3 linked regions of the Macaca fascicularis genome follow. The protein of the gene in region 1 interacts with the protein of each later gene in a pairwise test. Links are inferred from orthologs where the notes say so. Each region holds a gene or a part of one and is shown on either strand. Other genes may lie near its edges.

Region 1 (4,240 bases):
AGAGAGTTGATGGGGCCAAATTATGCAGGCTTTGTAAAATATGTTAGGAAGTCTGGAGTGTATCCTAAGGGTGGTAGGCCGAATTAAAACAGGGGACTGGTGTGATCTGAATTGCACTCTTTTTTTCTTTAGATGGAGTCTCACTCCATCGCCCACGCTGGAGTGCAGTGGTGCGATCTCTGCTCACCGCAGCCTCCGCCTCCCAGGTTCAAGCGATTCTCCTGCCTCAGCCTCCTGAGTAGCTAGGATTACAGGAGTGCGCCAACACGCCCAGCTAATTTGTGTGTGTATGTGTGTGTTTTGTTTTTTTTTTTTTTTTGTAGAAACGGGGTTTCACCATGTTGTCCAGGCTTGTCTTGAACTCCTGACCTCGTGATCCACCCGTCTCTGCCTCCCTCACTGCTGGGACTACAGGCGTGAGCCACTGCGCCCGACCCTGAATTGCATTCTAGAAGCATCTTTCTGGCCGCCATGCCAGGGCATGAAGCCAGACCTAGATGTCTCCATGTGTCACGTGGGCAACTGAATGGATGAACACAGGACAGAGAGAGAGGAAGAGAGGTGGCCAGGCACGGTGTCTCATACCTGTGATCCCAATACTTTGGGAGGCTAGGGGAGGAGAGGGTGGATCACCTGAGGTCAGGAGTTCGAGACCAGCGTGGCCAACGTGGCGAAACCCTGTCTCTACTAAAAATACAAAAATTAGCCGAGCGTGGTGGTGCTCGCCTGTAATCCCAGCTACTCGGGGGGCTGAGGCAGGAGAACCGCTTGAACTCGGGAGGCGGAGGTTGCAGTGAACCGAGATCACGCCACTGTACTCCAGCTTGGGCGACAAAGCAAGACTCCGTCTCAGAAAAAAAGCAAAAAAAAAAAAAAAAGAAAGAAGGGGAGGGAGCCTGAACACTTAGAGGAACTGGATTTAGATTTAGCTAAGATGAGCAAACAGGAATCTGGAGAATCGTAACCAGGCAGAGGCCCCTTCTACTTCCCAACCTCCCTGGCCAGGTTTAAACTAAGCGCCTTTCCCAAGACGTTAGGGTCACCTCCGGGACTCCAGAGGGCGCTGAACCTGCTACGGCCCCTCTAGGCTCCCCCCGCTCAACTCACTGACAGAGGCGGTGTCTCCCGCGGCAGACAACGTGCACGTGCGCTCTCCAGCCGGCAGAGGGCGCGCGTGCGCAGACGGGGCCGGGGGCGCGCGCGGGGGCCGGCACCGGAAGCGTGCGGTTGCCATGTAATATCCTGGCCGCGCGGGCGCGCGAGCGGCTGAGGCGGCGCCGGGGCGGGCGCGGAGCTGGCAAGCGGCTGGCGGAGGCGGCGCCGACGGGGGCTGCTGAGGCGCGCAGAGGGTCGGCGGCGCCCGGGAGCCTGTCGCTGGCGCGGTCCGGGCGGGAGGCTCGGCGGCAGGCGGCAGCATGTCGGTGGCGGGGCTGAAGAAGCAGTTCTACAAGGCGAGCCAGGTGAGCTCAGGCCCAGGCAGGGGCCGAGTCCTGGGCCCCAGGCTGCCCGGATGAGGGGGCCAGGCCCGACCTGGCTCGGGAGGGGGCCGGAGGGACCGAGGTAGGGACGTTGGTGCGTGTCCCCCGCCGGGTGGGAAGAGCAAGGCACGGACGGGGGCGATGAGGTGGCTCAGGCCCTGCCCGCCATGCGGGCTCCAGAAGCGGGGACAGAACCCCTGGGAGGAGGGGAGAGGCACCCAGGGGCTGCCCAGGGACGCGGACCTCACCCCTCCTCCCCTCCCCTGCAAAGGCGGGGTGCGGGGAGAGAAGGGGAAGAGAGGAGTCCCGAGGCTGTCGACACAGGATTCTTGCCAGATAACCCAGAGCCAGGGAAAATTGCTTCTAGAGCAGTTCTGTTCAAAATCCTCCGGATGGGCAAGGTACAAAGTTGAAAAGGTAGAGGGAGAAGTCAGTTTCCCCTCTCTGCTCCTCGGGCAGCCAGCCCCGTCTCTCTCCCCAGAGACAGGGACTGTCATCGACTCCGTATGTCCCTTTCGTAAGATACGTGTGTGCCTTTCCTTTAAAAACACGTACACTGATAGCATTTGCCACAGAATCCTGTGTGCTGTGGTTTTCATTACTTGGAGGTCACACTGGAGCGAGATTTCTACCCCTCCGTCAGCACTGTTGACATCTGGGGCCGGATTGTTCTCCGTGGTGGGGCCATCCTGGACACTGCGGGGTGCTGAGCAGCGCCCTGGCCTCCACCCTCTCCAGGCCGGGAGCACCCCCAAGTCGTGACAACCAAAAATATCTTGAGACATCACCCTGTGTCCCCTGAGGAATAGAATCAATCTCCTTCCCTCTCTACTTTCCTTCCTTCCTTCCTCCTTTCCTCCCTCCCTGTCTCTCTCCCTTCCTTCCTTCTCTTCTTTCCTTCCTCCCTTCCTTCCCTGTCCCCCAGGACTACTGCACTAGACCATACTCCACACTTGTTGGATTTTTTTTTTTTTTTTTTTTGAGACGGAGTCACTCTCTGTCGGCCCAGCTGGAGTGCAATGGTGCAATCTCAGCTTACTGCAAGCTCCACCTCCTGGGTTCAAGCAATTCTCCTGCCTCAGCCTCCCTGGTAGCTGGAACTACAGGCATGTGCCACCGCACCCGGCTACTTTTTGTAATTTTAGCAGAGACAGGGTTTCTCCATTTGGCCCAGGCTGGTCTCGAACTCCTGGCCTCAAGTGATCCGCCTGCCTCGGCCTCCCAACGTGCTGGGATTACAGGTGTGAGCGACTGTGCTTGGCCTACTTGGATCTTTTTAATGGGTACATTGTATTTCATTCCATTAGGTGTACCATAATTTATTTAACCAGTTGTCAGTTGATAGATATTTCTGTTTACCGGAATTTTCTGCTACCATTACTACAATGAATAGCCAGTGAATATCTTTGCTCACCAGTGGGATTCGTTTTATAGGATGAATTCCCGGAAGTAGAATGTTGCATCCCAGCCTAAGTGCATTTGATTTGGACAGATAAAGGGTTTTTTGGAAAGTCCAGGACCCATTGCCCATGAATGTGGTGAAAGCTGTGGATCCACTCTCCGTAAAACTGGGCACACTTAAAATTTTCACTTTGCAACTTCAAATCTAGCAAGCCTCAAATTTGTCTGGGCACGGTGGCTCACACCTGTAATCCCAGCACTTTTGGGAGGCCGAGGTGGGAGAATCACTTGAAGCCAGGAGTTTGAGAGCAGCCTGGGCAACATGGCAAAACCCCATCTCTACTAACAGTACAAAAATTTTGTATTTTTGCCTGTAACCCCGGCTACTAAGGAGGCTGAGACAGGAGAATCTCTTGAATCCAGGAGGTAGAGGTTGCAGTGAGCCAAGATTGCGCCACTGCACTCCAGTCTGGGTGACAGAGCGAGACTCCGTCTTGGAAAAAAAAAAAAAAAAGCCTCAGATTGTTGAATCCTATTGGTCCATGCACTGCAGGGTGAGGTTGTGTGGAATTTGTGTGGATAGAGTCCACCGAGGAATGAGCAATGATGTGTTTTTTTTTTTTTTTTTTTGAGATGGAGTCACTCTGTCGCTCAGGCTGGAGTGCAGTGGAGCAATCTTGGCTCACTGGAAGCTCTGTCTCCCGGGTACACACAATTCTCCTGCCTCAGCCTCCCTTGTAGCTGGGACTACAGGTGCCGGCTACCACACCTGGCTAATTTTTTGTATTTTTAGTAGAGACGGGGTTTCACCATATTAGCTAGGATGGTCTTGATCTCTTGACCTTGTGATCTGCCCGCCTCAGCCTCCAAAGTGCTGGGATTACAGGCAGGAGCCACTGCGCCCGGCCTGAGCAATGATCTTAGCAAATGCTTGGGCCGAGGTGGCAAACAGGGTTCTCTGCCCACAGTTTGGAGAGGCCCAGTGGGAGCAAAGAGAAACAAGTCCCCAGTAACACCCAGCTGGTACCTTTTGTCCCTGGAAAGAAAAAAGTAAGGACCCTGCCAGGTGCTGTGGTTCATGCCTGTAATCCCAGCACTTTGGAGGCTGAGGCAGGGGTTCCCTTGAGTTCAGGAGTTCAAGACCAGCCTGGGCAATATAGGGAGATCTCATCCCTACAAAATATCGAAAAGTTAGCCAGGTGTGGTGATGTGCACCTGTAGTCCCAGCTACTTGGGAGGCTGAGGGGGGAGGACCACTGGAGCCCAGCAGTGCAAGGCTACAGTGAACTATGATCGTGCTGCTGCACTCCAGCCTGGACAACAAAGTGAGACCCTGTCTCAAAAAATAAAGTAACAACCCT
Region 2 (3,713 bases), on another chromosome or scaffold:
TCAGCCTCCTGAATAGCTGGGATTACACACATGCACCACCACACCTGGCTAATTTTTGTATTTTTAGTAGAGACAGGATTTCACCATGTTGGCCAGGCTGGGCTGCCTCATTTTTATTATTCTTTGCAGACTTGGTGAGAAGTAGGGATGGAAGGCCAGGCACGGTGGCTCACACCTGTAATCCCAGCACCTTGGGAGGCCGAGGTGGGCAGACCACGAGGTCAGGAGTTCAAGACCAGCCTGACCAAAATAGTGAAACCCCACCTCTACTAAAAATACAAAAAATTAGCTGGGCGTGGTGGCGGGTGCTTGTAATCTCAGCTACTTAGGAGGCTGAGGCAGGAGAATTGCTTGAATTCGGGAGGTGGAGGTTGCAGTGAGCTGAGATGGTGCCACAGCACTCCAGTCTGGGTGACAGTGTGAGACTCCATCTCAAAAAAAAAAAAAAGGAAAGCAGGCATGGAAAATACTGTTCTTTCTTAGAACTAGGGGTGGAGGGACAAGCGGAGGCTAAGACAGCTCCTTTACTCACTTTTGAGGCTACAATAGGTAATTAGGATAAGCACTGAAACGTACATCCTTTAAAAAGTTACCTTTTGATTTGGGTAGGCAAAGGCACACAGGCGCTTATATGCATCCAATTTCTAAGACAACAGAAAACTGAGTTAGTAAGGCAAGTAAGGTTCCTACCCTTCCTCCCAGCAGTACCATCCCCAGCCTAGGCCCTCACCTGGCCTTTGGAGCTCAGCTTCAATTGTTGGCACCAGGCCCGCAGAATGTCCCGGTGAATCAGATTAACAGGTGGCAGTTTAGAGGGTAATGGAGGGATTGGTATCTTCCTCTGAGGTCTGGGGTTGTCACTGCACTCTGCCTTCTTCTTAGGACAGAGCACTGAAGGAGAATGGAATCAAATTAGTAGTAATTAACTTTGTGTACCTTTTCAGAATTTCAAAAGTAAAATCACTGTTTTTTTTTTTTTTTTTTGAGAGTCTTGCTTTGTCGCCCGGCTGGAGCGCAGTGGCGCAATCTTGGCTCCCTGTAACCTCCGCCTCCTGGGTTCAAGCGATTCTCCTGCCTCAGCCTCCTGAGAAGCTGGGATTACAGATGCCCACCACCACGCCCGGCTAATTTTTTTTCTATTTTTAGTGGAGGTGAAGTTTCACCATGTTGGCCAAGCTGGTCTCGAACTCCTGAACTTGTGATCTGCCCACCTAGGCCTCCCAAAGTGCTAGGATTACAGGCCTAAGCCACCGCGCCCGGCCTAAAATCAGTTTTAGTTATTAATAGTTCAATCCCTCTCAAACCTAGGACTTACCACTTCTAAATCCCAGTTTTATTCCTCAATCTCCCCACTACTCAGGTACACGTGCTCCTTTGTGAACCCTTTAGTCCACAGAACCCAGGTGGTGGCACCGGAGATGCCACTTCCATCCCAGGGGAATTATCACTGTCTTAGACTTGAGATCATACCTTTGTGAACCCCTTAATCCACAGAACCCAGGTGGTGGCACCAGAGATGGCACTTCCACCCGAGGGGAATTACCGCTGTCTTAGACTTGAGATCATACTCAGTGGTGTCCTCTACACACAGAGCAAACTCAACACCTGACAATACTACACAGGCAACCACTAATATTCCTAATTCTGCCAGCCCACCCTAGTCAGGGCAGCACTCTGGTTTCATAGCAGGTATGCTTCCTTAGCTGAGCTGTGTTTCTGTTCATCCTGCTTCTGCACCTCACATACCTTGTCTTCATTCAGTAAAGATATTTGGCTAGGCACAGTGGCTCACACTGTAATCCCAGCACTTTGGGAGGCCGAGGTGGGGGGATAACCTGAGGTCAGGAGTTTGAGACCAGCATGGCCAACATGGTGAAATGCTGTCTCTACTAAAAAAAAAAAAAAAAATTCGCTGGGCATGATGGCACATGCCTGTAATCTCAGTTACTTGGGAGGCTGAGGCTGGATAACTGTTTGAATCCGGGAGGCAGAGGTTTTAGTGGGCCAGGATCATGCCAAAAAAATGTCTAAGGCTGGGTCTGGTGGCTTACACCTGTAATCCCAGCACTTTAGGAGGCCAAGGCAGATGGGTCACTTGAGGCCAAGAGTTCACAACCAGCCTGGCCAATATGGTAAAATCCCGTCTCTACTAAAAATACAAAAATCAGCCAGGCATGGTGGCACACGCCTGCAATCCTAGCTAACTTGGGAGGCTAAGACAGGACAATCGCTTGAACCAGGGAGGCAGAGGTTGCAGGGAACTGAGATGGTGCCACCACACTCTAGCCTGGATGACAGACCAACACCCTGTCTTGGTGTCTCAAAAAAAAAGACACAGCCTGTAATGACACTTAGAGTTAGTAGGGTTTACTGTGTACATATTACTTCTTTTTTTTTTTTTTTTTTTGAGACAGAGTCTTGCTCTGTCGCCCAGGCTGGAGCGCAGTGGCCGGATCTCGGCCCACTGCAAGCTCCGCCTCCCGGGTTTACGCCATTCTCCTGCCTCAGCCTCCCGAGTAGCTGGGACTACAGTTGCCCGCCACCTCGCCCGGCTAGTTTTTTTTTTTTTGTATTTTTTAGTAGAGACGGGGTTTCACTGTGTTAGCCAGGATGGTCTCGATCTCCTGACCTCGTGATCCGCCCGTCTCGGCCTCCCAAAGTGCTGGGATTACAGGCTTGAGCCACCGCGCCCGGCCATTACTTCTTAGGCATAGTGTAAGTACTTCACTTAATTATTCTATGTAAATTTTAACACTCCATTCCCACACCCGAATAAAGGTAGATATTGTTCAAACTTATTTTTAGAATAGGTAGTCCGGTTTCAAGAATGGGTCTTCAAATTTACAGCTGTCTGTTCCCAAATCATTGCACATTGAAATTCTTAACTCCAAGTAGCAAGTGAAGGAAAAAATGATCAACAGAACCAAATATGCTGTGGAAGTCTGAAGATAGGAAGGGATCGGTTAGGGCAATGGTGACCAAAAGATGCTTCAGGAAGGTGCAGTTTAAGCTAGACTCCCATGAACTGTAGGATTTGCAAAATATATGACGGAAATTTCTTCCCTGGCTTTTCTTCTTCAGAAAAATTCCTCTGGCTTCTAAGACCTGAGAAAGTGGGATTTGAGGATTTGAAGACCTCTTACCTTTATTGCCTTTGACAGACTTTTTTTCTTTGGTTCCCTTTGCTGATGTTCCTGGCAAAGCAATCATGTTTGGTTGATTAGAAGTTTGCTGATCCTCTTCCCTCGACTTCTCTGTGGAGGTCTACTGGGAACAGAGGAGCTGGTCAGTCATTCCTCCAGTGTCCAAACCACACATACACTACCTGCCTCAAGATAACTCACTTCTAAGGCACCAAGGCAGTCACTGGACTCCACTGGCAGTGTGGATTCTCCTCTGGGTATCATCTTAATACACACTGTCATGCAGGCCAGGCGTTGTGGCTCACGCCTGTAATCCAAGTGCTTTAGGAGGACAAGGCAAGAGGATCGCTTGAGTCCAGTAGTTGGATACCAGCCTGAGCAACAACAAGTGAAACCTTGCCTCTACAAAAAGGAAACAAGATTAGCTGAGCATGGTGGTACATGCCTGTAGCCCGAGCTACTCAAGAGACTGAGGTAGGAGAATCACTTGAGCCAGGGAGGTAGGTAGAGGCTGCATCGCTGCACTCCAACCTGGGTGACAGAATGAGACTGTCTCAAAAAAAAAAAAAA
Region 3 (3,713 bases), on another chromosome or scaffold:
TCAAACTACCAGAGATTCCTTTGGTAATGAGGAAAAGTTTACATCTGAAAAACTCATTCACACTAAAAAAAGATAGTATTATGATTATTTTCCTTACAGCAGTTCCTTACATTTTAAGAGAGGGTGTTCCCTAAAAAGATACCTCAAAGAAAAATCTCTGAGGTCTAAGAAATGTAAACACAATTGCTATAAATATATTGATATAAGAACTTTGTGTTCTGGTAGTAGAATATAAGGAATCAGTAACAATAAAGGAGATAGAAACCTTTCTTAATACCCCTCAAATCAAACTCCATAGGTGACTTTTTACTACAGCTTCAGGTTAGTCTCATTTCAAGTAAGAGATTTCCTCACAGTTATGCAACTCCATGGTGAATGCTGTGTGTGTGTAGACTTCAAGCAGATATACTGCACTACTGGATTCTCAGTAACATTTAGGATTCATCTACCAAACTGGAACTTGCACTTGCTTTGCTTGTGATTAGTTTGAAATTGTCAAAGCCAGCCAGGAGTTATTCTACCAACACGTTCACAAAAGAAACGTGGCTAAGTTTACCTTTCTTTGGTCTGGGTTTCACTGGCAAGGACTCCTTTCTTTCCATAGCTGCTTCTCTTTCTTTCCATCGTCGGATCTGTTCCTCTCTCATCTTGAAGAACAGGATCTGTTTCTGTTCTTCGCTGAGCTCTGCCAGTAGATCGGGATCTATGTACATCTCCGACAGTATCTGTTTCAGCATCTTTGCAGTTCTGGAGTCTTTTATACCTGTGGCAAAAGTTCCTGAAACTGGCCTCCAGGTGTCCCTCCACCTGTGCTGGCACTTGGGCGTGTCCACAAAACTTCCCGAACAGCTCACAATCCTGGCTGACTGGGGCAATAATTCAGCAAACTGGCTCCTGAGACCTGGCACCAAATGTCCGGTCCAAAATGCTGTTCACTGAACCTACAGAGAGAAAGAGCCCGCATTCAGGTGGCATGTTAAAATGTGTGGACGCTGGCTAGGACGGGTTAAAAAAAAAAAAAAAAGCCAGGAGGAAATACAGTATCACTTTTCATTTCAGGGAGAAAACAGAAAAAGAAAACCTGAGGCACACTTTGTTAAGAGTTTGTGTAACTTCTATCCTATAATTTCTAAAGATACTTTGTCAAAAAAAAGAAAACAAACCCTAACTTTATACAGGTCAATCTCAGGGAAACAAAAAAAGTTCACAGAGGTTTGTCCTGCTCCCAACTAAGCAAACACATGATTACCCCAGAGCCTAACAAACCACCAACTGTGTGGCTGAAAAAAGAAAGGCAAAAAGAAAGGTCACAGGAAGAAATTAAAAGGCTCTCTGCAAAGTACCTATTTCAAAAGAAAATACCATTTTTGAGATGTCACAGAGTAACTCACCCCAAACCAAACCAAAATAGAGCCATGTTCAAGGAAGAAAAAGGAAGAAATAAAAACTAGACCACCATGCAATTTCTGCAATTTCCCTAAAAAGTAGCATTAAATAAACATAATTATGTACTTTCCTCTTCACAAAAGGATAATGTAATTTCCAGGCAACCTACTAGAGCCATGAAAATCAGGGCAGGTGCAAGAGAGAACATCCGTCTACATTCTGGAAGGTCACCGAGTTTTAGGTGTGCTTTTACTAGATAACCTAGTTTAATAAAATCTAAATGGACAGACCAGATAAACTAGCGGGATGAAGAGGTCATTAGGTTCATAACAAAGGATCCTTGATTTATATGAGTTTACTGCATGGCTCCGTGAAAGAGAAACCATAAATCGAGTGTGCACAGTGGCCTCCTAGAGGTTCTCCTGGGGTTGGAAATCCCACTGAGGTTTCATTCTGCTTTCCACATTTCTATTTGGTTGGCTTAAAAATATTACCACACTGTCATACTTTTTCTCTCTATTTTTAAACAATTTCTAAGTCTCATAAACCATCATACTTTTGTAATCAGAAGGAAACTATGTAAATATTTCTATTCTGGAAAACAAGACTTTGGATTCGATGTAGTACGATGTAAGAAAAAAAACTTACTACAACTTTTCAGAATCACATGTGTCCTAAGAAATTCACCAATAGACTAGGCATGGTGGCTCACACCTGTAATCCCAGCACTTTAGGAGGCCAAGGTGGGTGGATCACGAGGTCAGGAGTTCGAGACCAGTCTGACCAATATGGTAAAACTCCACCTCTACTAAAAAAACAAAAAATACAGAAATTAGCCAGGCATGGTAGTGGGCACCTGTAATTCCAGCTACTCGGGAGGGTGAGACAGGAGATCGCTTGAACCCGGGAGGCGGAGATTGCAGTGAGCCGAGATCGCGCCACTGCATTCCAGCCTGGGTGACAGAGACAGACTCCATCTCAAAAAAAAAAAAAAAAAAGAAAAGAAAAAATAAGAAATTGACCAATAATTTGTTGTTTACAGTAACACCTCAATAATCTTACCACCTTGCCATGTGCTCTCAAATATCTTGTTTCTCCATACTATATTCAAACACTCTTAAACTTTAGACAAGTCACTTAGCTATATTATGGCCATCGTAGTGTTGGTTTCTCTTCGTTTACCTTGTCATTGATACAGCTAGATTTGTAATGCTTCTCTCACCACCTGGGGGCCTCCTTCAGCTTCCTGTCTTCCTCCTCTTCCTTGCAAAGTTGTTCCTTGATGTACATCTGTCTTTTGAGACGAGCACGCTCAATAGCTAGGCTACCACAGAATGGTGTGCATACGCAGCACTCAGATTCGCTGACTGTTCATTGCAAAGCCAGACCCTTGATGAAACTACACCTATCCCTACTGACTGCAACCTATCATCTCAGCAGCATTCAACCACCGGAATTCAAATGGAACCAAATATTAAGAGAAAACTTTTAAAGGACTAAAAGTAATGTCACGCCCCCTGCCAGGTCCCCTTGCTAACTTTGTATTTTGCATGGAGATACCCTTAAAGGCTTGAACAGTCAAAAAAATGGATGTCTTGTAATGATTTCTTGACTGTTTCTAGCAGCTTCTGAAGGGGTGGAGCCAATGAAATCCACAAGCTCCAAGATAAAGTGGTAAGAAACGACACGGAATGACTCCTTGACATTCCAGTAAATGTCTTTATGTTCTGTGGTTGGCTTTCGCAGAAATCACACATGGCAGAAAATGAACAGTTCAGTTAGGGTTGAGACTTCCGCTCTGTTCCCCATTTTCAATGCGGTGAGTCCTATTCAAGGCGTGGGTAGAGCCTAAAATCTAAAACCCTTAAAGCGCCAAAGTCACATTCCTACTGTCTCCCCCGCCCTGCATATTCCTGATAACACAGCTAACACTTCTCGTACCAGGCACCATCTTAATTAAGCACTTTACCTGTGTTAACTCGCTTAATCTTCATAATAACCCTTCGAGTCCAGCCCATCACTGTGCTCATTTCACAGATTAGGAAGACAGAGCACAGGTCAGCAGCTGGTAAGCGGCAGAGCCGGGCAGTCCAGCTCTAAGTCAGCTTCACTGTAATCCACAGCACAGAGGCCTTTTTGTGAGTTTATTTGTGTGCCCAGAATCAGAACAGCAGGATGTGGCGCCATGTATGAAATTTCAGAATGGAAGCCAGCAAATTCCTGCAGGAACAGAAATGCTGAACTGATGGTGCTTGACACAGGGCAGAAGCCTCCTCCTGGTCCGCTGTAGCTAAGCTTAGGGGATGCCAGGTGAACACAGCCCAGCC

The links.
Region 2: the proteins of SH3GL1 (region 1) and DPPA4 interact in binary tests that used the Homo sapiens proteins (3 or more experiments, as listed by UniProt). The link is inferred for Macaca fascicularis from reciprocal best matches to the Homo sapiens genes SH3GL1 and DPPA4.
Region 3: the proteins of SH3GL1 (region 1) and SH2D4A interact in binary tests that used the Homo sapiens proteins (3 or more experiments, as listed by UniProt). The two-hybrid records come from large-scale screens. The link is inferred for Macaca fascicularis from reciprocal best matches to the Homo sapiens genes SH3GL1 and SH2D4A.

The regions. Positions count from the first base shown.
Region 1 is NC_088393.1:5,136,271-5,140,510, reverse strand, and holds the start of SH3GL1 (endophilin-A2), read left to right. Parts: upstream 1-1,268; 5' UTR 1,269-1,415; coding exon 1,416-1,460; intron 1,461-4,240. UniProt on the Homo sapiens protein: Implicated in endocytosis. May recruit other proteins to membranes with high curvature.
Region 2 is NC_088376.1:173,735,817-173,739,529, reverse strand, and holds part of DPPA4 (developmental pluripotency-associated protein 4), read right to left. Parts: intron 3,268-3,713; exon of another isoform or gene 3,265-3,267; coding exon 3,144-3,264; intron 892-3,143; coding exon 731-891; intron 645-730; coding exon 594-644; intron 1-593. UniProt on the Homo sapiens protein: May be involved in the maintenance of active epigenetic status of target genes. May inhibit differentiation of embryonic cells into a primitive ectoderm lineage.
Region 3 is NC_088382.1:22,384,117-22,387,829, reverse strand, and holds part of SH2D4A (SH2 domain-containing protein 4A), read right to left. Parts: intron 942-3,713; 5' UTR 738-941; coding exon 557-737; intron 1-556. UniProt on the Homo sapiens protein: Inhibits estrogen-induced cell proliferation by competing with PLCG for binding to ESR1, blocking the effect of estrogen on PLCG and repressing estrogen-induced proliferation. May play a role in T-cell development and function.